Drosophila melanogaster: one gene and its partners. The protein of the gene in region 1 interacts with the protein of each later gene in a pairwise test. Each region holds a gene or a part of one and is shown on either strand. Other genes may lie near its edges. The genes, in order: CG6843, Sec24AB, Bdp1 and tou.

What was found.
Region 2: the proteins of CG6843 (region 1) and Sec24AB interact in a two-hybrid assay, tested with the Drosophila melanogaster proteins (one large-scale study listed by BioGRID).
Region 3: the proteins of CG6843 (region 1) and Bdp1 interact in a two-hybrid assay, tested with the Drosophila melanogaster proteins (one large-scale study listed by BioGRID).
Region 4: the proteins of CG6843 (region 1) and tou interact in a two-hybrid assay, tested with the Drosophila melanogaster proteins (one large-scale study listed by BioGRID).

Annotation. Positions count from the first base shown.
Region 1 is NT_037436.4:18,897,582-18,903,452, forward strand, and holds CG6843 (uncharacterized protein), read left to right. Parts: upstream 1-4,012; 5' UTR 4,013-4,149; coding exon 4,150-4,221; intron 4,222-4,299; coding exon 4,300-5,328; 3' UTR 5,329-5,371; downstream 5,372-5,871. Other genes in the region: CG3902 (uncharacterized protein), read right to left, coding at 363-468, 559-594; RpL26 (ribosomal protein L26), read left to right, coding at 1,739-2,188; arx (asterix), read right to left, coding at 3,320-3,670, 3,739-3,891; CSN1b (COP9 signalosome subunit 1b), read right to left, coding at 5,564-5,871.
Region 2 is NT_033778.4:9,875,612-9,886,020, reverse strand, and holds Sec24AB (secretory 24AB), read left to right. Parts: upstream 1-3,663; 5' UTR 3,664-3,838; exon of another isoform or gene 3,839-4,625; intron 4,626-4,804; 5' UTR 4,805-4,828; coding exon 4,829-6,325; intron 6,326-6,386; coding exon 6,387-6,513; intron 6,514-6,577; coding exon 6,578-7,077; intron 7,078-7,136; coding exon 7,137-7,362; intron 7,363-7,466; coding exon 7,467-8,089; intron 8,090-8,144; coding exon 8,145-8,377; intron 8,378-8,430; coding exon 8,431-8,528; intron 8,529-8,581; coding exon 8,582-8,720; intron 8,721-8,783; coding exon 8,784-8,895; 3' UTR 8,896-9,789; downstream 9,790-10,409. Other genes in the region: CG1513 (uncharacterized protein), read left to right, coding at 41-448, 509-660, 720-821, 884-1,058, 1,120-1,255, 1,313-1,399, 1,815-1,936, 2,019-2,124 and 1 more; CG12744 (uncharacterized protein), read right to left, coding at 9,969-10,005, 10,062-10,409.
Region 3 is NT_033779.5:13,370,457-13,377,818, forward strand, and holds Bdp1 (B double prime 1), read right to left. Parts: upstream 3,369-7,362; 5' UTR 3,248-3,368; coding exon 2,239-3,247; intron 2,181-2,238; coding exon 1,852-2,180; intron 1,798-1,851; coding exon 1,048-1,797; 3' UTR 971-1,047; downstream 1-970. Other genes in the region: ND-B22 (NADH dehydrogenase (ubiquinone) B22 subunit), read right to left, coding at 1-108, 168-307, 386-483; CG6565 (uncharacterized protein), read left to right, coding at 4,048-4,695, 4,755-5,384; CG9302 (uncharacterized protein), read right to left, coding at 6,257-6,519, 6,583-7,194, 7,244-7,362.
Region 4 is NT_033778.4:11,611,334-11,618,758, reverse strand, and holds the start of tou (toutatis), read left to right. Parts: upstream 1-2,713; 5' UTR 2,714-3,180; intron 3,181-7,425. Other genes in the region: Egm (enigma), read left to right, coding at 1-857, 919-1,243, 1,305-1,829.

The DNA of each region.
Region 1 (5,871 bases):
ACTTCTACTATCAAAATAAAAATGTGCTTATCTGGCAAGCGGCCTCCTCCGCGTTTCCCTCAACTGAATAAACTTTATCAGCAAAAAAGGAAAAAAAAAAGAACAAAACTCGAAAAATACGAATACACACATAGTAGTGCAGCAAGACTTCAGCTGGTTAGCACAATGGAAAATTAATAAATAACAAGAGCATCATTAAAATGCGATGCTTGGTGTTACGTAACACCAAGCAAGTTCTAAACACCATAAAAATATCTAAAAATTCGACATGGAGAAAAAACACGCCTATCAAATGGGGACTACAACTCCGTGTACAGTACCATTAACACTATGATCTATTTAGATCCAAAGGGTATACTCACCAGTCTCCTTCATCATTTTCTCATCGTCGGTGAGAAAGGTGAGGGGTGGGGGGAGACCAGTTGCCGAGGACATCGCAGCACTTTGCTGACGTGCAGCGTTAGCCAGCTAAAAAGTTAATTAATAAAGAAAAAGGAATTAGTTGTAGGCATATATGTATGTATAAAGGTGTCGGTTAGGGGGGCGTGGCCAACTCACCATGCGCACGGGCAATTTCTTTAGGCTGTTCATCATCTTGAATGAAGTGGAAGAATTGATTTAATCAAGAGGCCAAACTGGACTTTTTTGAATTTTGGATCTGATCCCCAGAGACACCACAACGTTAAAAGTGGGCTGCTCACACGCGACTGAATTTCCATTCTCCACATATGTGGGGATCGTGGACCATAGGAAACCTGTTGCTGTTGGCGAAGCGCCATGTTAGTTAACAGCGGGCTGTATTTCGTTGAGCTTTTCGGTAACATTCTGTTAGTGCGGATGATCAACAGATGTTACTGAACTTTCTTCAACGCTGGTAAAAATATGAATTCAATCACTGAATTGCTATTGATTCTATTAAAACTATTTGTCTATATTTTTTATATTACTTACATATCTACTTTATTAATGGCCTTTCGTTAGATCCTTGATCTGTATTTCATTTTTTACAAAGGTATTAAGAACCGTTATTAAATTATAACTATCAGTATGTTGACATGTGAAAAATATGCTTTTAAAACGTAATAAAAACGTTTAACGAAAATTTAAAATTATTTTTATTTTTCACGAGTTGGGAAAAATTTAAACTGGTTTCCAATTGGAAAATATTGAATTGTAACAGTGAAAACAAGACCACGATTTTAGCAAAGACACACTCCCTTGAAGTGTTGCAAAGCACATGCTTTGAATTTGACAGTTCACGACTTAGAGATGACAGTGTTATCGATACTAGCTGAATTAAATTAAACAGTTACAGGAAGACATAAACAAAACAGTAAATATTTAAACAATTTCATAGGAAAAAAATAAGCGTAGAAGAAGGAAAATGAGCTATCAAAACCATTTATAAACGTAGAATCCAATGCTCTTCACCCCTGACAAGTACAACCGATAACATCGTTAACTATCGTTACGAAATACCACCTCCAGCACTGCCTCTTTGCCATCCCTAACCGCGACCCATCTGTCAAATTTCTTTCTTTTCGTTGATTTTTCGACGGTGAGTGCGTTTTCGTGATTAATTTCGTTTTTGGCCCGGCATCCCCACATATTATGCCCCATAAACAATGAAATCGAGCAGAGAAAACAACGCACGACTCGTTCGTGCAATTATTGTGAATTTCGGAGAGCCCGCCAATAAAGCAGTGCCTATTTTTTGTTTACAGCCCGCACAAGCAAGATGAAACAGAACCCGTTCGTGTCGTCGTCGCGCAGGAAGAACCGCAAGCGTCACTTCCAGGCTCCCTCCCACATTCGCAGGCGCCTCATGTCCGCTCCCCTCTCCAAGGAGCTGCGCCAGAAGTACAATGTGCGTTCCATGCCCATCCGCCGCGACGATGAGGTCCAGGTGATCCGCGGCCACTTCAAGGGCAACCAGGTGGGCAAGGTGGTCCAGGCCTACCGCAAAAAGTTCGTCGTCTACGTCGAGAAGATCCAGCGCGAGAACGCCAACGGCACCAACGTCTACGTGGGCATCCATCCCAGCAAGGTGCTGATCGTCAAGCTGAAGCTCGACAAGGACCGCAAGGCCATCCTGGAGCGTCGCGGCAAGGGTCGTCTGGCCGCTCTCGGCAAGGATAAGGGCAAGTACACCGAGGAGACCGCCGCCCAGCCCATGGAGACCGCGTAAATCGCCGGCTAAAACTCTGCTCTGGACAACTGGGACGTCGCTGTTTACTGTTTTTACCGTAACGCTTAGTGTAAAAAACAAAACATCTGAAAAAAATCGCGTGTGAAAACGGCGCCATTCTTTACAATAAAGGAAAGTTGATTTTCACAAATGGATCTGTTGGCTTATTTCCCTGAATGAAGTTTTAGATAAATGTGCCGGAAAACCGACGTAGCTGAGAAGTTTTGGAGTAGTTTAAAAAGAGACGCTCTGCTATTTGTTTTGCAAAGATTATTGATGTTTGATTACTGCCCGATTAGATTCTGTTTCAGATATAACTTATACTGCCATCTTCTCCATATTTTTGTTACTCTAAAAGTTAAAACCTTTAATTGACTTGCATTAGCTTGAAATAGAGTTTTCATTGAATTTGGACTTATAAAATGCTGTATTTGGCATCCATCCATTCAAATTAATAGTCAAATGATTGATTTAAGTTAAGCTTGTAACCAAAAATCCAAAAATAGCAGATTTAATACGTAATGGCTACTTACATGTATAATCGATCGTGTATTCCTACTATACAATCTTGATAAGCATCAACAGCAAACTTTCAAAGCTATTTAACTTTCCCAAAGAGTTTCATTTTGTAGGTAGAATAAACAGAACAGACCGATTTGAAAAACAGCCAATATTATTAGGATAACTAAAGAAACCAATATACGTCGGATTTCCCCTATTTATATACCCACTTTGGCAATAACGAATTAAAGGTATAAACGAATAAAGGTATTGTTGGGGATAAACTGATAGGTTAAGGAAGAGTAAGAAACGAGTATTTTTTTTGATAAGAAACAAAGTGAAATGCTTTATTTCACGATTATCTGTGTCGTTAATGGAAAAAGGCACATAGTTTACACATGTACATGAATTTGGGATATGTATGTTATTTTCATTATCTCAGAATAATATGAGATTGATTTTGTCATTTGCTCATCTGAACTGCGAGCAATACTTGTTTCACAGCACATGTTAATTTTAACAATTTGGCCGTGGAATTGTTTTTTTTGGTTATAATAACGAGTATAAGCCCCGATAAAATGTTTTGGTTTTTGTTCTTTGGCAGTGGGAGTAATTCTTGATGAACACGAACTACTGGCGCCTTGAGTATGGCCTCCTGTGCTCGTAGGGAGTGGGACGAAGATCCGCGCGAGCCTTGGCCTTCCGCGGCTTCTTCTCCTCCTCGTAATCCTCGCCAAAGTGACGACGTTTTTCCTGCTCGATGAAAGCCCTTCGCTGGGCGGGAAACAACCCATTGGGCTCTCTCACTATGTTGGCCCTGGAACAGTAGACCTGAGGATCGTAATCGGGCACACTCTCGTCGTCATCCCAGTTCTCCTCGGACTCGATCTTCGCGTGTCTGGTGTCTTCGCTGAGGACAGCAGGAGCGCTGGTCTGATAGTGTACTATAATGTTTCGATCCTCGCACGATTGGGTGTGTTGCTACGTATGCAGAAAGCTGGGCTTTAATAGGACATACAAGGTAACTACTACGTATATTCTGTACTCACAAAGAACTGGGGCTCTGGTATCAAATGGGAACTATTGAAGGGACAAACCATAAGTTCCACCGTGTCTTTGTAGATCACACGGCATTTTAAGATGTGCTGCTGGAGCTTCTTGCGCAGCATTTTGTGCTCCTTGTTGTACGGGCAATAAACCATATCGGATTCGTCGTAGTTATTCATCATGAAACAAAACCTAAGGTTTCGAGTTGCTTTTAAAATGTATTCGTAAAATACAAACAGTCCGGCAACGCTTTATCTACTTGTGTTACTATACCGATAATGAAATGCGATACTTTTCTTAGCCTATCGATAAGCGCAGTCAAAGTGCCCTGATATCGCAGCTGGAAAGTATTTATAAAAGTTGTATATTGGTTATTTGTTTGCAATTTGGTAGCGAAATTGCACAGCAGCAAGATGGGCAAGGGCTTCAACAACTACATGTGCAAGAAATTCTTCCACCCCGCCTCCAGGGACAACTTGAAAAGGGTAAGTGGCTCCGGGCTCCTGATGAAATATGTTCTTCCCCAGCAAAACGCCTAAAACTATAGGGATTACCTTCTGCAGGTCTGGATGGCGGAGCAGCAGGCGGAGGCGTACAAAAAGAAGCAGGAGGAGCTACGCAACCAGTATGAAAAGGAGCAGAATTTGCACGAGAACAAGGCAATGCTCAGCAAGGACAGCAAGGATAAGCTGAGCGTCAATTTCATGTACGAGCCACCGCCAGGAGTGCGAAAGGAGCGCGAAAAAGATGACAACGAGCCGGAGTACAAGTTCGAGTGGCAGCGAAAGTACAACGCTCCTAGAGAGTCGTACTGCAAGGGCGACACCGAGATCAGGGACCAGCCCTTCGGCATCCAGGTGAGAAATGTGCGTTGTCTCAAGTGCCACAAGTGGGGCCACATCAACACGGACAAGGAGTGCACCATGTACAGCATTTCCATGAGCGAGGCACGGAAACTGCACGCAGAAACAGAGGCCAGCGACATCATGGCCAAAAACGTGCTGGAGGAACAGATGAAGGAGGATGGCCTCATGATGAAGCGATCGGCACAGGAGCTGCAGAGCATAAGGGCCATTCAACAGCAACATCAACTGGTGCCCAGCGATGGCGAGAAGGACGCTCATGCCGATGACCAAAATCCCGAACTAGTTTTTCTCAAATCCCTGTCCAAGAAACAAAAGCTAAAGCTGTTGAAGAAACTGGAGAAGATTGAACGAATGAAGCGCAAAGGCGAGGGCATCAAGAAGCCCACAAAAAGGAAATCAAAAAAGGAAAGGCACGAAAAAGATAGCAAGAAAAAGAAATCCAAGAAGGACAAATCGAGCAGAAAAGACAAAAAGGGCTCAGTTAGCAATAGCTCAGACTCCTCTTCATCGTCGGACAGCAGCGACTCCGAGGACAATCACAAAAGCAATCACAGGGACGACAAAAGAAATGGACATCAAAGGACTAGGGACTCGGATCATAGCTACCAACGGCGGAGCAATGAAAATAGGCATCGGAGAGATCGATCCCGCTCCAGAGATCGCTCGCGATCGCTTAGCAGAGACCGAAGAAGGGAGAGGGAGCGCAGAGATCGGTCCAGGCGGTAGAATTAGTTTTGTAAAACCCACCAATAAATTTTTATCAATTTGTATCGTCATATTTAAAATTCTAATTTAATTTATATTTCATTTACACGATGAAGTATGGTGCTTTTTCGTTTTTGAGGAACCAACTAGTTTTTAAAATCATTCATTAGCTTTGCTATAATTATTTATTTTGCCAGCTTGTGATATACATATCTTAAAAAATTTATTGGGTATTAAGTGGTGCTTTTAAATTGCTCTAGATTCGGGCGAGTTGAGCAGTTGTCGAGGATCCGGCGGAGACGCAAAGTTCGGCGCCGTGGTTGCTTCCACCCTCCCGGGAAATGCTCTTCACGTGGATGTGGCTCTTGAGCATTGCAGCACGAAGAACAAGCATGCGGGTATGACGCTGGTACTGCTTGCCCATGATCAAAGCCCGCTCAAAGGTGCTGTTCCTTTGATCCGCCTCCTTGGCGAACAGGATCTTATTGTGGGAGTCAATACGCGCCTGGATCTGTCCGTCTAATATCAACTGCATCACCTCGTTCTCCAGATCGCCCACCGACG
Region 2 (10,409 bases), on another chromosome or scaffold:
TCAACAAGTCCTAAATTTACTCTCATTTTTCATTGAACAGCGCAACGCGCGGCTTTGCGGAAACCACATCGCCTACCCATGAAAAGGCGCCGGATGGATTTGCCAACGCCGAGCCAGTGGCTGTGGGCGATTCAGTTGCCCCCCAAACGCTGCCAGAGATCGATGAAAGTGTTGCCGATGCGGACACCAGCATTAAGACAGCGAGGACCGCAGTAAGTTCCCGAAGTGCCAGCTACGATAACGGAATAGACTACGACGCCCTGTACGAGGAGGAGGAAGAGACGGACCTCAGTATGGAGGCGCACGGATCGATGATTACGCACTTGCTGTCCCAGGTTAAAATCGGCATGGACCTCACGAAAGTGGTACTGCCCACGTTTATTCTGGAGCGCCGCTCGCTCCTGGAAATGTACGCCGATTACTTTGCTCATCCCGATCTGTTTATAAAGTATGGTCAAGTTCAAGGCGTTATATCAGTAATATAACTCATAAGCATCTTACCCAATAGAATATCGGATCTGGATGATCCACGCGACAGAATCGTCCAGGTCTGCCGCTGGTATATGAGTGCTTACCATGCTGGGCGCAAGAGTGCGGTGGCCAAGAAGCCGTACAATCCAATTTTGGGAGAAGTATTTCAGTGCCATTGGGACATTCCTGGTAGGCAATGCAAAACTAGCTACTGTAGACCACCACTTACGCGTTTTCCTTGATATTAGGCATATCCCAAGACGCTCAGGAGGTACGCGACGGTCCAGTGCCTTGGTGCAGGCGGGATCAACTCACCTTTTTAGCTGAGCAAGTGTCTCACCATCCGCCAAGTAATACAAAGAAAAAAACAAGACTTTATTACCTCTATCACTTACGCATTTATTTGTTTCAGTTTCTGCCTTCTATGCGGAGCATTATAATAAAAAAATAACATTTGCGGCCCATGTATGGACCAAGTCGAAGTTCTTGGGACTCTCCATTGGAGTTCATAACATTGGTGAGGGTGTTGTGACCCTGGTGGATCGCAGCGAGGAGTACATAGTGACCTTCCCCAACGGCTACGGCAGGTGAGAACGTGTCTGTGGTATTTCCGGTTACAAACAACTGAAGACTATTTCCATTACCAAGGTCTATTCTTACGGTGCCTTGGATTGAGCTCGGCGGTTCGGTGGAGATCAAGTGTCCACAGTCTGGATACTATGCCAACGTGGAGTTCCTCACCAAGCCATTCTATGGCGGCAAACGGAACAGGGTCTCGGCAGAGGTGACTAGCTCTGAATGTGTACATTTGTTTTCTTTTATTAATTCGGATAATCCATAGGTCTATGCGCCGAGCGAAAAGAAGCCTTTCGTCTCTATTACGGGCGAGTGGAGTGGTTTGATGGAGGCCAAGTGGCATGATAAAAACGTAAGTCGTCCAAAATATGTTTGGTTTATGTTTGTAGTGTACTATTATATATTGTTTCTGTAAATGTTGATCCTTTACTTGTACTTTTTCCTCCGCATACTGCGCCAAAACGCTGCAACAAACAACCCCACGAGTTGGCAGCCACATCCACCCTTCACACCCCAACTAGACCTCTACTTACTATCCACGATTCTTCTGCTTTTCTCTTAAATAGCTCGGGAGCATTTCCTCTGTGTGTTTACTTTGTTTGTCTAGAAAATCGAACCCACAAATTAATCCTATGCCTGATTGTCCAACGTTGTATTCAAATTGTTGCTATCTGTACTTATATATGATTGCTGTGTGTTTAATATTACACCCAATCCCAATCAGTTGACCACATAGTGAATCTGAATGAATCTCTTGAATTTTCTAGAAAACCGAAGTATTCGTCGACGTAAATCGCATACCCATATTTAAGAAACAAGTTCGACCAATCGTTGAGCAGGATGAGTACGAATCGCGACGCGTTTGGAAGGAAGTGACAGCGGGACTCAAGTAAACAGCATACCAATTAATTCCTGACCCCCAATTGCGAGTCATGATAAATGTAATCTCTTTGTTCGTTGCTCTTCCACAGGTTCAATGACATCGAGCGCGCTACAACTGCCAAATTCGTTGTGGAGCAACAGCAGCGTGATCAAGCCAAGGTGCGCAAGGAATACGATCTGGCCTGGGAGCACAAGGTACGTCATCCCGATATAGGGTAAAACAGTTAACAGATAATATTCGTTCACAGCACTTTAAGCCCGTGGGCGACAACTGGATCTACGCCAAGCCGCTGAGTCAGCGCATGTATCTGCAGGAGAAGGAGGCCAAGAGATAATGCCTCCGACTGACAACGAGAGCAACAACACCAAAAACGTCTATATATATGGATCATATCAAGAACGAGCCTCAACTATATGTTTAATTCCACAAGTGCGCAAACCTCTCAACACTGACGATACAACGTAACGAATGCAGGAAAAGTTAGAGCAACAACTGAACTGGCAGAAGGAGATCCATGATGGAGGCTCCAGGGTCTGGTTATTAATTGTAAATAATATACACAGAGAAAAAGAAAGGAGTAAAGCTCTGCTCATTAGGTTGGAACGCGAGTCAAGCTCGACAGCTCAGCGGAGACAGAAAAATCAAACACTCACAGTTTCTATACAGAATTAACGATTATTATTTACTACTAAGTACTAGTGTGTTTCAAAGGCAATCGCAGTAAACTGCAACACAATGACACCTATTCAATACCTTTTACATTACTAACATTTACTAACTAGCAACAAAGAAAGAAATCCAATACATAATGGGATATATCAAAAGTTGTAGATTACAAAATGATAGTTACTTAAGGATAATAGAGATTCTATTTTTGAAATAAAAGACTCTGCTATAGACGAAATACAATACCGACACGCTAGTATCCGACAGATACTGCACCCTCGCTTCTTTCCAAGACCACAGGACAGACACACGGACATAGAACACACGGTGCACAATGATTTTCCAGTCGCATAGCTTATAAATCAAATACGATTACCTTTAGTATTATGTTTCGAATTCCACTTGTCACAATAATAACAATAAAGCTTTACCAAGAGTCCGCTGGTGACACACCTTTACACCTTACTGCAATAGAACCCAATTGAAAACCGAACTCCTAGACACGTTGAATAATAGACATTAAATTTAATTTATAACTTTATAACTTACGAGCCAGGAAGCAACACCACCCACACAGCAAATCTACCGACTACTCTCACGCAAAGTTAACGCAAAATGAAACGAATAAAGTAAATACGCTTCGAAATTGATTTAAAGTAATATTTAACGAACTAGTTACCCCGTAGAATAAAAGAATTGTAATCCCAATGGCATTAATTGGAACTTATATCCAAGCCCGGGGAAACTTGTATATATTTTTGCGATTTTCTTTTTAACCAACGTGTTAATTGAGAAATTGAGCTACTCCCAAGCAGATACAAATATTGCAAATAAAGCGATTTGTTCTTTAAGCAGTTTTAATGGATTTTGGATTTCGGGCTTACGAACATTTAAGCTCATATCATTAACAGAGTTATATATAATATACATTGCTTGTCTTCACTTAATAAACATTGCGTTAAGTTTTAAATTTGAATTGTTACAAAAATAATGTTACCATTGGTATCGATAACATTTTATTTGCAATCGATAGGCGACCCAGAGCACTGTCATCTCTTTTTTAAAACCAACGGTCACACTATTGACGTGGCCTCAAAATTTTTTGTTCTCCGGAAAATGCAAAAAGTTTGCATTTAAGTTAATTGTGCATAGCAGCGTACGACGCCAAGTCCAAAGAATCCGCCTGCCAATATAGGACGTGTTCGCATCCATCCGGAGCACGCGAGGAGCGCTTGAAATCGTGTAAGAAAGAAACTAGTGCGGAAGGAAGTTTTGGGAGTGGAGAGAGCGTAGGGAAGTGCGAAAATCGTTTAATTTTCGTTCGCGGAGAAAAATCCAGCCAAGGATTTCACAAAAGACCAGAACAAAGAGTACAACCAGTGGTTTTTACAGCTGCATCCGCCCTTTCCTCACAACGAAAGGCGGAAAAGCTAATTCATAGTCCGCAGCAAAATCGCCAATCAAGGGCGCAAGAAGAAGAGGCAACTACAAAGTGCAAGTGCTGGCCGAGGAACTTCATGCCAATGAAAACTGAAGCTCGGGAAGGTGATAAGTGATTGGTAACCGTGTTATGGGCACTACATATGCCTTGATTGCCCCAATTTCTTTGAGTGGGTGGTGGGCGTGGCGGGTTGACTTCGCCAATAGGCACGTCATCAAAAATTTGCTTTGTTCCGGAGACAAATCCTTTCTCTTCCTGATTGCTTCCACTGCATCTGGGTCACCAATTTAACCGACCCACCTTCTGCGATCATTGATGGCGAGGTCAAGTGCTTGAGGCACGCACACTTACACGTTGTACATCACATAATAACCCATAACGACCTGCTGTCGAAGCTGTTTAAACAGCAAAATATGATATGAAATTATCACCCTATTTCCGACTTACTGTTGACGTAGACACAGTTCTGTAAACACTGAATCAAGACATTTACCTAGGCAGCCAGTCTAGCTTAAAAGTTTGTGATAAAGCTCCAATAACGCAGAATTTCGCATTCCATTCGATCACTGCAAATTCTAAACTGTCTGTAAGCGGGGAAAAGCATCCCGCTTTAAAACTTTACAACTTTTATCAGCCGCACATTGTTTCATGTTACGCGCTTTTTAACATTGAACGATAAGATAATTCCCTGTTTCATGTCGGCAGCAACGCAACCTTCGCTAGTGATAAGATAGCAACTAAACAAAATGTAATTCTTCATCTTTCAGACCACAAACCTATGAATTAGCAGCATGTCGACTTACAATCCGAACTTCGTGCCTCCCGCCCACGCCCCTATGCCACTGAACGGAAACAATTTTGTGAATGGTGTGCAAGGAAGCGTCCAGCAGCAGCCAGGTCCTCCACCTGGTCAGCAGTATATACCACAGAAGCAGCCACAACAGTTCCAGCAACCACCTCCTGCAGCAGCTTTTCCGGGAGCAGGAGCGCCAGGTAATGTGCCACCGCCGCAGCAGTTCAACAGTGGTATTACGAACCAGTTCTTGCCGCCCACGTCAGGAGCAGCTACACCTCTGCAGCAACTGCCGCCCAGCACGCTGCCGCCCCATCTGCGTCCGCCCGCCGCCAACGGACCACCCCTTACGAACGGCAGCAATGGGGCGTCCAGTGCGAACTCTTCGCGCACTGCATCCCCAAGGCCAGTAGGAGCTGCCCCTCAATATGCTCAAGGACCAATCGCTGCAGCGTTGAACAATCCGCCCCTGGCGTCGGGACTGCGTCCTTCGCCCCAACCGACGCACCAATCTCTGGCCAACTTGACGAGCAATCTGGAAAATCTTAACTTGAATACCACTCGAGCAAATGGAGGTACCAGCATTTTGCCACAACCCCAAACCCAGCAACAGTACGCACCCACAGTAACACAAAAGGATGGCAGGGGAGTGGCCTCGGCCCAGACGGGTCCACCGCAGTTCAACGACGCCAACAGTCTGTTGGCGGCCAGCGGAGTGGCCGCTGCACTAGTTCCCAATGCCATGGCGACGCCGTTTAGTGGACAAAAGCCCCCCAATTTGGCTCCAAATCCGGCCAAAATGTTCGGAAGCGCCTCGATGGCCGGTAGACCAACACCAGCGGGGCAACGAATCCCATACGGAGTACCCCCACCAACTAACCCCGAGCAGCAGAGCCAGCAAAACAACAATCTACAGAATGCACCGCCGCCACCAAGAGTAGGAGCGGTATGGCCGCCGAGCTTACCAAATGTAGCGGCGCCGGGAGCCCAGCCCATGATGCCGCCAGCCCAGCAGACACCACAGACGTATCCATACTCCCAGGTTTATCAACCAGGACCACAGCAACAGCCACCACCTCCTCAGTCTGCAGTGCAGCCACCGCCGCCGGGAATGTTCGGAACGCAACCGACTGGAGCTCCACTGCAGTATCAGGCACAGGCGCCTCCTCAGGCTTACGGACAACATCCTCAGCAAGCACCCCAGACTGCACCCGGGGGACCTTATGGAACCACTGCTCCACTAAACGTGGCTCAGCAGGGATTCAGCAGATTGTGGGGACAGGATACTATCGACCTTATGCAGAATCGGCATATCTTAACGCCGGCAACGTTGCCTCCGCCAAAAGTGGTTTTGCACAACCAGTTTCACGAGTCCATAAACTGTAGCCCGAGCATTATGCGCTGTACGCTGACCAAGATTCCCGAGAGCAACTCTCTGCTCCAGAAGTCACGTCTGCCTCTGGGCATTGTGATACATCCCTTCCGTGATGTCAATGTAAGAATTTTATTGAAAATAATTTGATATAAAAGACTTTAACTTGGAATTCCTCACACAGAGCCTCCCTGTTATTCAGTGCATCAACATTGTGCGTTGCCGGCTGTGCCGCACTTACATAAATCCCTTCGTTTACTTCGTGGACAGCAAGATGTGGAAGTGCAATCTGTGTTATCGAGTCAACGAATGTAATTGAAAAGAGTTCCCAGCATATAATGGATTTAGTAATCCAATGTTTCTTTCTTCGTGCAGTGCCAGATGACTTTCAATTTGATCCGGCCACAAAGACATACGGCGACGTAACCCGAAGGCCCGAGGTACGCTCTAGCACCATAGAGTTTATTGCTCCTTCGGAGTACATGTTGCGGCCGCCACAGCCGGCCATGTACCTGTTTCTCTTCGATGTCTCGATAATCGCGCAGCAGAGTGGTTATCTGGAGGCCGCATGCGCCGTACTCAACCGGCACTTAGACGAGATGCCCGGTGATGCGAGGACCCAGGTGGGATTCATTTGCTTCGACAGCTTCGTGCACTTCTACAGCATGGCCGAGGGGCTCAACCAGCCGCACGAAATGACGCTGCTGGACATCGAGGACCCCTTCCTGCCACGTCCTGATAGTTTGCTGGTAAACCTAAAGGAGTGCAAGGAACTGGTGCGTGATCTATTAAAGCAACTGCCTAAGCGGTTTGCCCACACCCACGATCCGGGTTCCGCCTTGGGTGCTGCTCTGCAGGTTGCTTTCAAGCTAATGGTGAGTTGAGCTATTCAAAATTAAAGAGGAACCTTAATCATCGTGAATACTGTATACAGCAAGCGTCCGGCGGACGGATAACCGTCTTTCAATCGTGCCTTCCCAACAAGGGACCCGGAGCCTTGGAGCCGCGCGAAGATCCCAACAACCGCTCGGCAAAGGACGTGGCCCACCTTAACCCGGCAACCGACTTCTACAAGCGCTTTGCCCTAGAGTGCTCCGGCTATCAAATAGCTTGTGACCTCTTCCTGATGAACCAGCAGTACAGCGACATGGCAACCATTTGTAAGTGACTCTTAGTAATGTAAATTCAAACTGCCTTTTTGCATTAAGTTCTCTTACGAGTAATAGAGCACCGTTAACTTATTGGAGTTTCAATTTCCCTATAGCTGGCATTAGCAAACATAGCGGCGGCTGTGTACACCACTTCCCGCTCTACCAGAAGACAAAGCCACACATGGTAGAATCGTTCCGCTCGTGTTTCAAGCGCTATCTTACCAGGAAAATTGGATTTGAGGCGGTAATGCGAATCCGCTGCACTCGTGGCTTGCAGGTGCATACATTCCATGGAAACTTCTTCGTGCGCTCCACGGACCTGCTCTCGTTGCCAAACGTGAATCCGGATGCTGGATATGGCATGCAGATCTCCTACGAGGAGAGCCTCACGGACGCGAAAACGATTTGCTTCCAAGCTGCGCTGCTCTATACGAACAGCGAAGGAGAGCGCCGAATCCGTGTGCACACCGTGTGTTTGCCGGTTACCGCTTCGCTCCCAGAGGTAATGCATTCAGCCGACACGGAAGCTATTATCGGGCTGCTGTCGAAAATGGCGGTTGACCGGTCGGTCGCCTCCAACTTGTCGGACGCCCGCGATGCATTCATAAACGCTACGATCGACGTGTACAATGCCTTCAAGATAGCACAAAATCTGCCATCGGGACAGTCGGGTCAGCTGATAGCGCCGCGCAGCCTGGCGTTGCTCCCGCTCTACATCTTGGCCCTGCTTAAGCACGTGAGTTTTTTGCATATGATCTTAGTTATCACAGCTTATTTCGGTTTTCCACTAGCCCGCTTTCCGTGTGGGAACTAGCACACGACTGGATGATCGGGTCTACGCCATGGATTGCATGAAAACGCTACCGCTGGACCAGCTAATGAAGTACGTGTACCCGGAGCTGTACAAGATCGATGCGTTGATCTACCACGCCCGCAACTCGAACATTAGTTCGAACCAGGATGACGACGAGGACGAGGATGAACCGTTGCCGGAGCTGCCGCGTCTTCAATTGTCCGCGGAACAGTGAGTAGAGTTGATTTATTTTTGACCTTCGATAACGAACGCTTTAACTTCAGCTTGGACTCTCGGTCAATATTTCTGATGGACTGCGGAACGCTGATAATGATCTATGTCGGCCTTAATGTGCCGCCCGATGTTTTGGAAGCTGTTCTGGGTATGATCTTAAAACCCAACCAATTTGTGTTACTAATCTGTTTCTAATTTCAGGCATCAGCTCCACCGCAGAACTGGGTGATTATGTATATGGATTGCCAAATGTTGTGAGCAACGAGAACGATGTGCTGAAGCGTTTTATTTTGCGACTCAACTACGATAAGCCCTACTCGGCGCTGGTGCAGATAATTAGGTAAGTCGGACCACTATTAAAATATTCATAATACCTTGCTAATTATTTTATCTTAAATTAAAGGGACACGAGCACGGCCAAGGGCCAGTTCACCGAGAGATTAACCGACGATCGCAGTGAATCTAGTTTGTCATACTATGAATTTTTGCAACACATTCGGGCTCAGGTTAAATAGTATATAAGCAGGATATCCTACCACTATTGTATGCAGCATAAATACGAGTTTCTAAGAACCTAAAAACTCAGACTCTGGTGACTAGAAGCACGAAGCGAATGCAGGTGACACTGGTGCGAAACAATGGAGACCAGTTCGGGACAGACATACACTTGATACACCTTAACCACCCATCCCCTACCCACTCTCTCGGCTTAGGTAATTTTAAAGTGCATGTATTTATTTATTTGTTGATTTGTTGCACTAAAAATAAAATAAAATAATTGAAGATCATAGTAAATGCGAAAGAGCCAACTTGTCACAACAGAAACTAAGATATCGTTGCCAGTTCGTTTAGGGCGAACATTAGTCAAAAGTTCAGCTAACCAGTCAGTAGAGCTCCCGAAGAAGTGGATGGCTCCGTTATTTATTATAGAAACTATGCAATAAACCAACGAAACTGTTGTACATTATGCTTTAGCTCGATTTTTGTTCGTTCCAACTGCTTCAAACATTCTGCAAACTTCTCAGCCCCACAAATTGTTATCGCTTACCCCAATTGTTTGCTGTTTTCAGTAGTATTTATTTTCCGGAATCCAGAGAAATCTATATTTATTTATAAGTGTAAGGAAAGGCGTTTTGTTGCACTGTAGTTAGCGAACTTATTTCAAACGTATGTACGGATTTGGTATTGTGTATTGCATTCATTGGACTGCTAGGCAGTGAATGTCTTAAGCTTAGAAGGAATATTATACTGTATCAATAAAGAGACCCCATCCCTGTACCTCAGGTGGCGCAGTTGTCGTTCTTTGAGTGGGCTAACTAATCGAAAAACCATATACAAATACTGTACCATACTTTATACACATACGAGTACATCAAGATATAAAGCGAAATAAATTTTAATTAAATCATAAGGCAATGCGTTTTATTTTCATATGTACAGGCACATCTGTTGTTCCCAATATATCCCAATTTAGTTTTGGGAAAGACCTTAATTAAATTAACAATCATTTACAATGGATAGATGATGGCGCATAAGACTCAATAAATCGGTCAGCCCTTCGCAAGACATATCCTGGTTCTATGTTCCTCTACATAAAACAGTTGTCAGCGCCTAGCCAGAGATTCCTGCAAAAATATCAACTTTAATAATGGACAAATATAAATTGGGTATCTGGACTTACGGATTGAAGAAGGGGGAGCGCGGCGGATACTTCCTCTTTGGTGGAGGACACAAGATGGGATCCAGCTTATAATCGTTTGTTGTGTCTAGACTTCTGGGAGAGTAGTGCTGCCAATCTAAGGACTTCTCATCTGGTTGGTAGCCATCGGTCGCGTGCTCAATCTTCACGTGTACCTTGAGATGATCCTGGAGGAGGAATACCTTGTCGCAGAGCTGGCATTGAAAGTGTCCCTCTGTGTTGGGCACATGGGCTTCATGGTATCTTTTATAGTGCTGGTGCAGTTCCAGCGAGGATCGCATCGTGCGCCCGCATATATCGCATGTTTGACCAGTGCTCACAGGCTGCGGA
Region 3 (7,362 bases), on another chromosome or scaffold:
CAAAGTACTCGGGGTACTGGGCCTTCTCCAGGGGATGCCAGTAGTCCAGGACCCAGTCGGGCGGAATCACCTCTCGTTCGAAAGCACAGCCACCGGCACTGTTGGCAACTACAACGATAACACACGTTAGATACACAGACATATGACCATACGTTCAATTTGTTTACAGTTTCGGGGCTGGAAATGCCTTGTCTCGAAAAGCTCCCTTTGTCCACAGGCTAGGAGGCGGATGCCCTCGCCCAGATCTTTGGAGCGGTTTTCGTCGAAGCGAGCACGCAGCTGCACAGCGCGGTAGCGGTAGACATTGCTGATGGGCATTAAGAAACAACCAAGATGCACTTGCTCATTATATAATATTTGGGAATTCTGCGCCGAGTGCACTCACCGTCGGTCGTACCACGACTCTAAGTTGCGCAGTGCTCGCTTGTACAGGCTGCACACCTGGCGCTTGTGCGAGACGATTGCCAAGGGAACTTGGGCCATCGTTTTTTACTATATTGGTTAAATTGTATTAATTTGCTACCGCAGCCGAGGCAACAACAACAACAGCTGTCAAAAGTCCAGTGCTCTAAAGCCCTGCGCCTGAAAATATGTGTTGCGAAGCGAAAAATAATTTTAGAGAACGGCAACTCTGAAATGAATGGAAATTCAAAAAATATTTATATATTTGATTTAAATTTTCTATACAAAAGCAATGGCTATCTTTGCATTTTATACAAGCTTTTGTTATTGCAAGAAATCGAAATGATCCTGTCTAGAGTAGATACCTATAACCAAACACTTTTAATGCTTAAAAGCCTTCTTGCTACCCTATTTTATTTATAAAATAAGACTATTTTGACAAATCTGTTATAATTGTATATTAATTACAATTTTTTTTAGGAATAGTTAAAGAAACCAAGAAAGTCAGTCCCATTTTTGCATTTTTTGCAATTCCCTTTGAATTTGCGAGGAACAAGAAAGTAATTTTGTAAATACATCTAGCGAAATGCTTTAATAAATTATAACTGTTAACAAATACTCTTAAGATATAAATATAAAATGTCGTTAGTCCTCTGGCTGCATAACATTCATTATGCATTGAACAATATGCTCTGGTATTTTCAGAGGCGTTTCGCACAACTCGCCCGTTTTTTTGTCCAGCATGTAGATTTCGTTGAGCACACGATCCTCGTGCTCTGGATCCAAGGACGAGACGAGAGCCAGAGATCCTTCCGCAAGCTCGGCGAGAATTTGTTCGATATCCGGTTCGGTAGTGGACGGCGGAATGGGGTCATCCGGCGTTATAAGTTCATGATCTTGGTCTTCAATGAAGTTTATTAAATATGTCTCTGCCTTTCGATTGGGCGTCTCTGGGGCGGGTTCGACGTCGCTGACATAGCTTAGGGTACCATCATCCATATTGATAATAGTTTTATCACGTGGCTTGTTTACATCTACGTCATATTCCACCGGATCATCCATGAGGAGGCCATTGAGCTCAGCCTGCAGTTCTCCCCCCGTTGGCAAATGACTACTCGTTTGTTCGGTTTTGATCGTTTTTTCCTGCTTAATGGCCGCCACATCAGACAGGCTTTCCGTTGCCGCTGGAACTGAAACCTTGGGAGATCGTCGCTTAGCCTTTGGCTTACGTTTGGCCGGCGCACTTCCGTCGTTCTCATCGGTCTCCAACTCCTTTCGCCTTTTGGCCCAGGCGTGCTTGCCGAGCTTTGTACTCGTTACGTGCTCGTTTTCGTAGACAACATCACCATCGTTTAGTGCCCTTGAGGCCTTGCTTTGCTGCTGTACTCGGGAACGCTAAATATAATTAAAAAATGTAATGGTGATTACAGTCAGCTACAAATTATTTACCTTCTTAGGGTTTCCCGGAAGAGCTCGTGCGATTTCCCTCCACTTGCGATCATTTTCTTCCCTTTCGCGGTCCTCCTCTTCCAGTTGATCCTTGAGCTCCTGAATGTTGAAGGCCTTAGGATAGAGGAGTGCTTTGTTTATGAGCTGCCCATTGGTTCGCTCTTCCTTTTTGTACTTCAGCTTTAGATCCCGACGTGAACGTGTTGGAAACATTTGGCACATCAGCGAGAAGTCCGTCCCAATGATCTGCAGGCTGCGGTAGAAGCGGACGGTCTCATCGGAGGTCCAGTATGGCGTGCGCTTGTGGCGTTTATAGAATCCATTATCTCCTGCAAAGTATAAAATTCGTTAAGTATTCAACTTTTATGTATTAACTCTGCGGCGCACCCGTAGTCTCGTCCATTAGGATTAACGATGAGTTGGCTAGCACCTTGCGGGCCTCCACCTCGGCCGTGGTTTCGATCTCCAATGTTTTCTCATCAATGATCATCTCGCCATTGGCATCAAGCTTTAGCTGAGGCACTAACATAGCGGATGTGGACTCTCCCTTGGGTTCCAATAGTTGACTGACTGCGGGCTTGGAATCATCGCCACCAGACTCATCCTTGATGGTCGTCACCGACTGTTTGGGCACCATGGGATTGTTCTCCGGATTGTAGAAGATCATGTCCATCATCTTGAACGTGGACTTGTCGGGTACACCCTTATTGAAACGGGTTTCAAAGTCTCGCCGGGCATTTAACCGCTGTCCAATTTGACTTTGCGACCTATCGTCGCCCTTCCTCTGCTTGCTACCTCCTTCGGAATAGGTGGAACAGGTGGATTCGGTGCGAATGCGTCCCATGCCCGGACTAGCGGGCGGTAGGTATTTATAGGGGGACGGAGGCATAGGCGAGTGCACCTGCTGCTGCAAAGGAGTTCCCGATGAAGAACCGCTAAGATAGCGCTCTCGCCGCGTGGGCGTGGCTGGCGACTGATAGTCGCCCTCATAATCACTGGCCATGGGTGAGCCCACGAAGCTGTTGCGTCGCTGGCCAAATACCGGAGTGGGTCGCACACGCTGACGGGCTTGAGCCTTGCTGGGCGACATAGGGAAGCCATTGGTGGTCTTCTGCAAGTCCATCTGAATGACATTGTCCTCGAGGTCCGAGTGGAATACCTCTTCCAGCTGCCCAGCCGAGCTTGCGGGCATCTTGAAGGCGATTGCATCAGCCTCTAGTTCCAATTCCGCAGCAGGGGTCGATGCAACGGGCGGGGACTCAGCCTCTGCTTCCACCACCACCGCCTCCTCCTCCTCATCCTCCTTTTTCGCCGTTGGGAGCTCCTCCCTGCGTGGCTTGCGTTTGATAAGCGACAGGTTGGCCGGAGCCTTGATGCGCTGGCGCCGCATGGACATCCTGCCTGGGTACTCTTAGGCTTCTTCCAGGCTCAACCGCAGTTTCACACATCAAATCGAATCAAAATCTGCGCAACAAAAACAATGCGGCCGCAACCACGAGTTTCCCAAGTATAGTGTTGGCTAACGCCAAAGAGCATTCACAGTGTCCTGGCCATGTAAGAAAGTAGACAACCAATTTATTTAAAGTTTCAAAATGGCTATAAAAAACTTGCAGTACCCAAAAGATTTTTTAACAAATAAAAAAAAAACGAGATAACTGCGTTATTAGAAAGCATGTCAAGTAAATTTATTCGCAGTGTCAAAAATAAATTGGTATAAATTATGGCACACTTCACCAGATTCACGTCAAAAATTTGTACACAGTAAAAGTTTGGTTGAATTTAATATTATTTGTGTTTCAGTGTTGCAGAAAAGTGTGATCACTGATCGTAGCTGTCACCTCTCAGCAGGCGGTTTGCGATTTTCCAACACTGCTGCCTGTAACGGCACAACAACAGGAACAACAACAGCGGAATAACAACAGAAGCAGCAGACAAATTGCAAGTTGCACGTTTTTTCTAATCGGGCAAACATGATAAGTCCGCCCAGATCCTAACCAAGCTCTCGTGCAGTAACGCTTCCGGCAAACCTATCGGGTGTGTCCTGGCTAGAAGTACTAAATTCCCAAAGTTTTCTGGCGACAAATGTGCCAAGTGTGCGGGGGCACAGTAATAGCGAAGGAGCATTAAGAAGTCGCCGCACTTTTGAGTAGGTTGTTATGCAAGCGGGCGGCCGACGGACAAATTGAATTAGCCGGCATGCTGTTCAATCGATTTGTACTGGCCATCAAGAACCAGTCCCGAGAAACGCTGCGTGCCTGGAGCTACCAATGCGAGTCGATTTTCGCCCAGCGCTCGCGTCGCGTTCAGCAGTTGTTCAGTTTCTACCAGTCGGTGTATGGAACTCAGGGTCTGAAGCAGCTATGGCGCGCCTACTACCGCCGGGAGCTGCAGCCTCCGCTGCGGGGAATGGTGATGAGTGCAGTGGGTCTCGTCGGGCTGAATATCAAGCGAATGGGTAGCGATGGCTTCGATTGGAACAAGGAGCGCCTGGCCTTGTCCAACTTTGATCTGTGCCGCCGGGATATTGAGTTTATCAACGCCCTGCCCAACAATCAGCTGTGCGACCGCTGCCAGGCCAAGAAGATGAAATACTGCTACTGTCAGCTGGGCAACCAGCGCTGCAAAAAGGGCCAATCCCAGCCGTCCACCAGCAAAGAGGCGGAGACGGATCCGGACACCAGCATCAGCAATTGTCTGCGACCGTTGGATCTGGACGTGCGCAATGCACCGGCCGGAACGGTACGCATTCAGGCCCAGGACGACCAAAAATGGGAGCCGTACTTTAGCAAAAACGAATTCAGCATTTGGCGGCGGCAGGAGCGCTCCTCCTTATACTCATACAAGGTAAGAGGCCATCTAAAAGTTTTTTAGGGCTCACTTTTATGCCGCCTTTCCGTTTGCAGGTTTATGCTCGATTCGACGACATCACAGCGGACGACTTCCTCCACGTTCAAACGGATTTGGATTACCGTCGCCAGTGGGACGACACGGCCCTAAGACTTGAGCTCATCAGCGAGGATCCCGTCCCGGGCAGCAACTCGCATCTGATATACTGGGAGATGCAGTGGCCACGACTGTTCGCCAATCGCGACTACGTCTATTGTCGCCGCTACATAAAAGACGACAACAAGAAGCTGATATTCATTTGCAACCGCGGAGCCACGCACAACACCTATCCGGCGTTGTCTGGAAAAGTTCGCGTCACTGACTATTGGAGCCTGATGGTCATCAAGCCCTTTCGCGGTTTCCATGAGCCAGGCCTCCACTTTGTCCTCACGTACTTCGACGATCCGGGCATACCCATACCGCAGAATATTAAGTCCTGGGTTACTCAGAAACAAATGCCCGAGTTCCTCACCAAGATGTACGTGGCCACCAAGAACTACGCCTGCTCACGGGCCATCAAGATGAAGGACATGTTTCACGGATTCGCGCTTATCAATGACGAATATACGGCTAATGAGCAACGCGGCAGTTGGTTGGGCAGTTTGAGCCGGCGCAAGGTCAATAGTAAACCCGAAGCAGGTCGTTAACTCCTTTACCATTATATACCTGGCTGCTCCCGCTCCCATGAGACCTCCCTGCCCAACAGAGCCACGTATCAAACCATCCGAAAGCCCAGTTCCATCTTATGTTCATCCCTTCGATCGGCTTTAAAATTCAGGCGAGAGAAATCGAAACCATTGAACATCAGAGCAAGTGTGCAATAGGTGGAAGTTTTGCTCTTAACATGAGTGCCACTTTGATGAGAAACTTAAAAATAAATATATACCTATATTAGCTATATGGCTAAACCAAAATATTTTAAGTTTAGAAATTGTTTTAAACGCAAATAGAAATTATTGAAATTAATTGTACAATAAAAGAAACGAAAATAGACACCCAGAGACTGAAGTCTACAAAAAAGCAATGTCTTGCATAACTATTGATATTTTACGGCATTAATTTTCATTCATGCATAACATTATCTACACCAGATAGTAACACTCGTGCTTATCAAATAATTGGTCAAGCATTATCTTGAATTACCTTTTTTCAATTACAATTTCTCACCCGAACTTCGGCTATTCTTATCGTGCACTGTATACAAATCAAATTGGCTTAAGAGGATTACACTAATCTGATATGGTATTTAACATACTAATTTATATTTTTAATTAAATTTTATTATTTTATTATAGAGGGATAAGCGCAGTAAAAATGAAATTATACTATTAGTTATAACATAATTTATTAGTATGCTATATAGTTACAAAATGCGCATACATTCTATAAAATATTCGATAGTCTAGACGACATTCAAGCTGATTGTAAACTGAACGGAACGAATACAGTTTATGGTAATACAAAAAGTGAGATTGCAAAGTGTTGTGGGAGAAGCATCGTTATACTTTGCAACAGCGTATCACAGCTCTGTGCGGTCCGCTGAGGTAGGCGGGTTGTTCATATAGGCGATAAAGTCCTTGCTGGTGCGTCCGCCATTGTAATCCAGCTTGGTTTTGAGGTAAGAGAAGTACAGAATGGTGGGATATCCGCGTACGTTATACTTTGCGCAGAGCGCGGCAAGCTTTGTGCAGTCGATGGCGACAAACGCTATCCGAGGATCATCCTGTAAGGCCGTGGCAGCCGCTGTAAACTCCGGTTTTGTGTGCTTACAGTGTCCACACCCTGAAGACGGTTAGTCTTTAGTAGAGCTTTAAATATGTTTAACAATCAAGCGGCAAAACTTACAGGGTGCATAGAACATGACCAGCGCATGCTTTTTCCTCTTCAGCGTCGAACTGAAGTTGTCGTCATCCAGAAATAGGACTTCCTTGCTGTCCTCCTCCTCCTCCCAACTCTTTTCGGGTGGCGGAGGCGGTGGGGGCTCCTTGGGATCTCTCATAAATTCAACAATTTTCGATGCTTCGCGTACATTTACTTCAAACTTAAAGACGCCATTCGAGAAAAACTTAACAGTTGGATAGCCCTTGACTTTGTATTTCTCTGCGATTGACGGCTCCTTCGTTGCATCCAACGCAGCCAAAAGGCCGGGAATCTTTTTCTGCTTCATCTCCAGAGCGGCCTTTTCGTATTCCGGTTTCATGCGCTTACAGTGTCCGCACCAGGGTGCATAGAACATGACCAGGGCGGACTTCTCGTCCTTCAGAGCGGGCTCAAAACCCTGCGAGGTGAGATGGACAATCTCCGAGTTGGTATCCGCCGACCATTCGGGTTCCTTGGGCTTTGGCGTTGGCTTGGCATTTGGATTGAGCATAAAAGACACCAAAGCCTCCTTGTTGTTCTCTCCTTCGTATGTAAAGCGCAGCTTGCCGTTTTCAAAGTAAATCAGGGTGGGAAAACCTGTAAATGTATCGTTTAATTTAAAACTAAGCAAAAATTGTTAACTTACCAGTTATGTTGAACATTTTGCGTATAGGAGCGTTCTCCTGTCGCTCTACATTCATAGCCGCCAGAATATAACCGCCCTTAGTTTTCAACTCCGTAGACGCTTTTCCGTACTCTGGCTTC
Region 4 (7,425 bases), on another chromosome or scaffold:
AACTTCTTCATCGGAGTGGTGGACAAGGAGCTGCTGGCCTATCCGGAGGTGATTCCACGGGATGAGATGGCCCAGCTGGAGAATTCCCTGCTGCCGCTGAAGAACTACTTTGTGGAGCCACGTGAAACGGAGGAGACCTCACCGGAGACCCTCCGCCAGCTGGGACTCTATGGGCTAAATGTGTCCACAGATTACGAGGGCAAAGGCTATGGCTGGAGTGCCAGTCTAATGGCCAGTGAGCCGGATTCAACGGATATCAATGTAACCCTGGGCCTGCAAACGCATCGCGTGGTCGTGGATCTTCTGAAAGAGGTTGGAACTCCGTTGCAACAGCAGAGGTATCTCCAGGACTTGGCCACTGGTAAACTGATAGGTACCGAGGCTATATATGAGATATCTCCACCCGAGGAGGATTACTTTAACACCACGGCAGAGTTGTTTCCCGAATACGGAAAGTGGCAGCTCAATGGCGAAAAATCATTCGTGATCTGCACACCCGGCGAGCGGCAGCTTTTCCTGGTTCTGGCCCAAACCCAACAGCCGAATGTTCCGGGAGTTTTGGGACGTGGCACCACCATCTTTCTGGTTGATTCCCAGCAGGAAGGAGTGCGCCTGGGCGAAAAGCACGCCACATTCGGTTGCCGGAAAGCGGAAATTAGGCGTGTGCACTTCGAAGGCGTTAAGTTGGGAGAGGATCAGGTGGTGGGCCTACCACACGATGGCAACCGCTATTCGGAGCAGCTGGTGCGATCCTCCCGCTTGAGGGGCAGCTTGGTGGGACTATCGCTGGCCAAGAAACTGCTAAACGAATTGGCCCAGTACACTGTGAACACCACTCAGTGCGGAGTACAACTGCAGTGAGTACTCTTGATTTCCTATAGCTATATTTTATATAAAAATATATTTACTCAATTATAGAGACCTGGAGCTCACCCGCATCCATATGTCGCGCGCGATGTGCTCCGTTTACGCGATGGAGAGCATGCTCTACCTGACCGCCGGGTTGCTGGATGAGTTCCGTGCCCAGGATGTGACTCTGGAGAGTGCCATAACAAAGTACTTTACCCTGCGACAGGTGTACGCCATTGCCTCCCAGAATCTGGGAGTCGTGGGACCCAAGAGTCTGCTCAGCGGTGAGACCACGGAGCTGGGACTACGAGATGCAGCGCAGCTGTGCACGCAAGGTGAATCCCTGGACACCTTGGGCATGTTCATTGCCCTCACCGGATTGCAGCACGCGGGGGTAAATTTCTTGTCCATTTGATACTTGTGTAATGGTACTTAAAAACAAAAATTTTTTTCAGCAAGCCATGAATACGGGCGTGCGAAAGTCCAGAAATCCACTCTTCAATCCTGGTCACATTTTTGGTAAATTCCTGGACAACAACAGCATCGACAATCCCAAGACCAAGATGCAGCTTTCGGAGCACGTGCATCCCTCCCTTGAGGCGGCTGCCCAGTGCATTGAACTGTCGGTGGCGCGTCTCCAAATGGCCGTGGAGCTGATGTTCACCAAGCACGGCAACGCGGTGGTGGAGCGTCAAAGTGAAATGCAGCGCCTGGCGGAGGTGGGCACCCTTATCTATGCCATGTGGGCCAGCGTGGCGAGGGCATCCCGATCGTATTGCATTGGACTGCCGCTGGCGGATCATGAACTGCTCACGGCCACAGCGATATGCTCGGAGGGCAGGGATCGCGTCCGCACCCTCTGCACGGAGATCTATGGCGGTCATTTTGTGAACAACGACAACAACCTGGTGCGACTCTCCAAGCAAGTGGCCAAGAGCAAGGGCTACTTCGCTGTTCATCCGCTGACATTTAACTTCTAAGCCAAGCTGGTAGTTAAGTTTATTATTGCCTTTACGATTAAAGTGAATACTTGTTATTGATAATTCGCATGTGTTTAATCTCGTCTTGAGGGTTCCAAAAGGTAAAACACATTTGTGGATTATTTTCCGGGACACAATTTGACAACTAGTTTTTATATTTTATATTTCTAATAATTCACGCAAATATTAGCCAAAAAAAAAACTAAATAGACTGATTGACGCAATTGTTCAACATATTTTTAAGTAGAACAATTTTCTTAAAATCCCCCTAAGCCATCACAAATAATCCAGCATTCTGGGAAATCAGCGTGAAATGTCTTAATCCGTTGAGTTTACCACCTGTCCGCCTTTTCCGCTGCACTGGGAATTGGATTTGCATTTCGTTTAAGTGGTTGAACTGGGCGAATTGATAAAGAATTGACAATTTGCTAAGCGGCGCAGGAAGACGGCCAAAAGCGGTGTGAGTGTGTGAGTATGCGGTCTCTTCGTTCATGAACGTGTGTTAGCGTGTGTGTGTGTGGACAGGTGGTAAAATAGCCTGTACTGTACTTTCAACGTAAAGCAGCTAGCTTACTTAGAGTACTCAGTCAATATCGGGTCAATCAAAATGTGGTTAAAGGTTTTGTCTAAACAAGCGCAGAATTCCTAATAATTTGGATGACTATTAAATGATTAATAGATAGAACCGTGTGCAAGTGTGCGTGTTTGTTTGTTTGTGCCCACAACTACACAGCAAGATTTGGTTTCATGTCCACTTGTTTCGCCGCCACGCTCTCGCCACTGTTAGTTAACATAGCTCTGCCAGCGACTAACATGCACTCACACTCGTGCAGCGGCAGCACTGCAGGCAGCGAAAATCGAAGAGAGTAGATTCATAAAAGAGTATCGGTTTCTCTATCGAAGCGTTCGGACGTCGAAAAGATAAACCCCAATTTAAATCTAATCCATCTGCGAGCAAATTAAACAACAATAATGATAGATTCTTAAGCGGCGCGCACATACGTGTCTTATTAATCGATTTTGATGTTTAAAAAATAATATAGAAAGTTGAAGTGAACTTGCAAACCTCGCGAATAGCTGGAAATTTGCGCGTGTGCGGGTGGAACAGTGACACTCGTGTGAAAATCATCGCTAAGGAAAAGGCGGATAATATAAAGGAAAAACGCCCGCGGCGAAAATTATTCCATTGGTGTGAGTGTGCAAAAAAAAGGAAGAAATATCAAGAGCAAAGAAGTTCGAGAAATTGCTAAAAATTAAGTGTGTTTGTGCTTGTGTGAGTGGGTGACAAATGAATGGGCAGCAAAAAGACGAGAAGTCAATCAGCGATAAGCAGTTTAAACAAACAAAAAAGGTGAGCTAAAATTTAAAGCTAAATCAAACTCATTTATATGTAATACAAAGTGTATAAATATAAAGTTCACTGATGAAAAATTAAATGATTTCACCCTTAAAATATTCCCGTTGAGTTCAATACAACACCCCCGCCCCCTTTTATCAGCCCTCCCCACTCCCCTTCCCAATTTCAACCGCAAACAAATAAAATAGGCAGAAAACCGAAGCGGATAAAAAAGAGGAAGAAGCGAAAGAAGTAGCGTCGCCGATTTCAGTCCTTCATTCCATTTCATTTCGTTCCACATGCTTTTGCTGCCCCTGTGATGTTGTAGTTGTTGTTGGTGGTGCCTTTGTTGTTCTTGCTCTTGTTCTTGTTCTTGCTGTATTTCGGCGGTGACAGTGAGCGTGAGCAATGAAGGCGGCGAACGGCGAACTCTGGAAATTGCCACAAGCAGTGGCACACGACGCGGCCAACAAACACACACACACGCATGCGAGCATACTCTGCTGGCCAGAGCAAATACAACATACAGTGGGACTTTGTTTGGGCGGACAGCATGGATAGTTGAAATTAATATATTCCTTTTCAGTGACAACTTAAACAAGAATCTACGTAAAATACTTACTTTTTGCACCAAATAATTACCATTTTTAGCAGTTTGTAAGAAAATGAAATGTTTATAATTCCACTAATCTTTTGAGTTTGCAGTGATAACCGTGTAAATTGAACTATTACAATCTTTTTTTTATTTATTAAAACTATTTTTTTATTTATTAAAAAAAACACAATTTCTATTGATTCGATTACTGATAAGTACTCTATAGCGATTTATGTATATTTAAGCAATTAGTGCTAGAGATCAAGATGAATACATTTATTTTAAATGAAAGATTCAGGTTAAAGAACTCTTGATGACAAAAAAAAATAAATATTTTAATTTACGAGCTTTTAAATTTCACATACTAATCATATAGCCATAAACTAAAACCGGGGAATTTTGAGTAGCCAATCTTTACTGTACTCGCACGAATACAGTGACAAATGCAGGGGGCAGCGAAACACGACAGCGACGGCGGCAGAGGCAAAGACACCTCGAGGAGTCAACTCACCTCTCGAAACCGATTCCTCTGCTTCAATTTTTTCTTTTATTTTCCTTTTTGCGCTCATATTGTAGTTTAATTTTTATTTTATTTTTTTTTAGCCCGCCCTGTCCGCATGTGTTATGCGTGTGTGTGTGTGTTGGGTTCACACAAATACAATTCATCAGCGGCAGAGAAGTCGGCGTCGCTTGTTGTTTTTGTTGCTGGTGCTGCTATTATTTGTTGTTGCTGGTTCTGCGCGCTTTTATTTGAGATTTGCGCACGAATGGCTTTTGCTTTTGCTCTTGGAGTTGTATATAAATTGTAAAGCGTGTGGGGAAGGGGCAGCTGCAGAAGGTGGAGGATGAGGGGCTTTCAGGCTAGTTTCGTTCTAGAGTTCGCGAGCACACAAACACGCACACACAGTCACGTACATACGCTCGACAGAAATACGGGTACACAACATAGAGAAAAAATAAGGAGAAAAAAACAAGACTGCAAGTGGATTGGGCTTTGAATTTTGTTTTGTACACTTTTCCCTCGGCCCTGCTCCTTCGTCCTTCCTTCTTTTGAGTGAATTTTTCACCTCCTTCCCTACCCAAATACTGCTATTCCTTAGCTTTCTTGGCATATTTCGCAATTTCCCCTTCGCATGTTAATTGCCGGCGTTGAACTTTTAGTTGTTAATCAATTTGGTTTGGCTGCTATTTTGCCTCTTTTCACTTCTTTGCGTTGTTTGTTTTACAAACACACATGCCGCTGGTTTTTTGTCTTTTGTTTCAAATATAGCATTTGATTCGGGAAAAACTACAATTATTTCTATAATGACAAGCTTAGGATTTTAAGAAATACAGTTCACTTACTAAATTGGAAATACATATATGCCGGTTTAACTCAAAATAAATGCAACTTATCGCGAGCATAGTTTATATAAAATATATTAGTAATTAAGAGAACATACATACATACATGTACATATATGTAAGAACTGTTTAAAGTTTATGTTAGATTGATCTATTTATGCTAAAAGATTATTAATAGCCAAAGTTAACATTAAAGTCATGAATGCAATTGTTTTGTTTGCTTGCAAATCAATTAACTTAGCTAATCAAAACATTAACTGCGTCTATTCAGGACTTCTTCATTTGTTTGATTGCAATTTCCTCTTTGCATTTCCGATTCCCTTTTTGGCCAAAAAATTAAAAGAGGTGCCAGCCGCCAGATGTCGCCACTGTTGGCTGATTCCGGCTGCTGCTGCCGCTGCTTCTTCTACTTCGCTCTGCTTTTACTCTGCCCGCAAATCGATTTCGATTTGGTTCCGTCTCTTTCGCACACACCCTCGACTTCTGGCTGTGTGTGTGTGTGAGCAATAAGCTTAACATAAATCATTATAACGGCACATACAGGAGGGACCTTACATGTCACCCCAACCCCCAGTCCCCCCTTGCGCCCACAACCGCCCATTTTTCTGTATGTCTGTGTTTGTATATTTGTTCGTTTCGGCTGTCATTTCATATGGAATTCTATATGGGAACGCACAAAATCGATTTCTAATCGTGTAAATAAATGGCGACAAATGCTGCGACCTCTCACACTCGTCAACATGCTCGAGCTCTGCCTTCTCTCCTTTCGCATAGCAACGAAAAGCAGGAAAGAGGGAGGAGAGGCAGAAGGTTTGCATGGGCAATTGTTTCAAAACTAAAAGTTGCACACTGAGAAAAATGCTAACTACGTAACTGCGTTTAGTTATCGTGGCCAAATGGGAAATAAACAGTGAAGACTTTCAATCACAGAAATTTAAGTACAATAAATATGTGAATACCATTTATTATAACTAGAAGAAAGAAAGTATGTAATTATAATATAATTTATAAACAACATTGGTAGATGTTTTTTTCCTGTGCAGTCAACAGATTTCTGGTTGCACCTTGAGTTTTTTCGATGGCAAGGAAATGGGGAATGTGAGGCTGGCCAAAATCAAACAGGATTCGAACCTAAAAGGTGAGAAGTGTTAAGGAGGCGAAGAAAGGCGAGAAGAAGGCCTAAAGGAGGAGCAAACAGTAGCCACAGTCACTCTGCTTAAATGCCAGAGATAAACGAAAGGACTTCGGAAGGAGGACTTCCTGAAATTCGGATTCCAAAAGCACACAAAAACCTACATAGCAAACAGTAGTTGCTCCCAAAAAATCAGCAACATGGGCTTAGGCAACTCAAATATTTTAGATGGGTTATATGCACATAGGCGCATATATATTTTTTGAAAGCGCAGAAACGTGAATACTCTTTCGCAAAAAATAAGAAAAGTTATGTTGAATACATAAGTTATATTTTGACATTCTTTTAATGAACTAAACCCAAAAAAAAAGAATGGAAAATAAAAAAGTATTTTTATAAGCTGGAATTAATACGTTTGAGACCATAGTGATAATACCCAGCGAATGCAAAGCAATAGAACGCAAATATCTGAAAAGGGCTTTACATTTTGTCAGTTGATTTTCGGGTAGTTTAGTAAGGAGGGGGTGGGGGGTTTGGGCTGATGAACAATTGCATTTTGAAATGCGCACACATTTTATTTGTTTTGCTGCTGGAATTTTGGGGTCTCCCCCCTTTCCCCCCATTGCAAACACAATTCAAAGTGGCAGCTAAAAGTGGGTAAAGTAAAAAATCGCACGCCAGAAGTTCGTTGGTTGCATGTGATTCTGGTGGAGGGGTGGAGGGGGGGAATTATCTCTATACCTCTGTCTCTTTCCGATTCTCTGGGGAATCATCGATGGATAACACAAAATTGAATTTACTACTGTGTGCGCTGGCTTCGTTTGTGTTTTTATTGCAATTGCTTCGCACGTTTGCAAAATATTGGCAGTAATTGAATTTATAGGGGGAGGGGGAAGGGGGTGGAATAGCAGGGGGAATCGGGCGGGTCAACACTATCCAAAATTGAAATGCTAAAGATGAGTGAGTTAACCTACCTATATATACTTGCAGGCCCGCTTTTCCAGCCATTCGTGCTGCTCTGCCATTGTCCACTCATTTGCCGCTGCGATCGCCATCTCGCTCGCACACAATGTTCGCCAATTTTCATTGCGATTTTCCTTGTGGTCGGAAATTCTCTTATTTCTGCTTGATTCCGTTTATTTGTGGAGCTTATATCGAATTACGAAATATATGTATGAGCATACATACA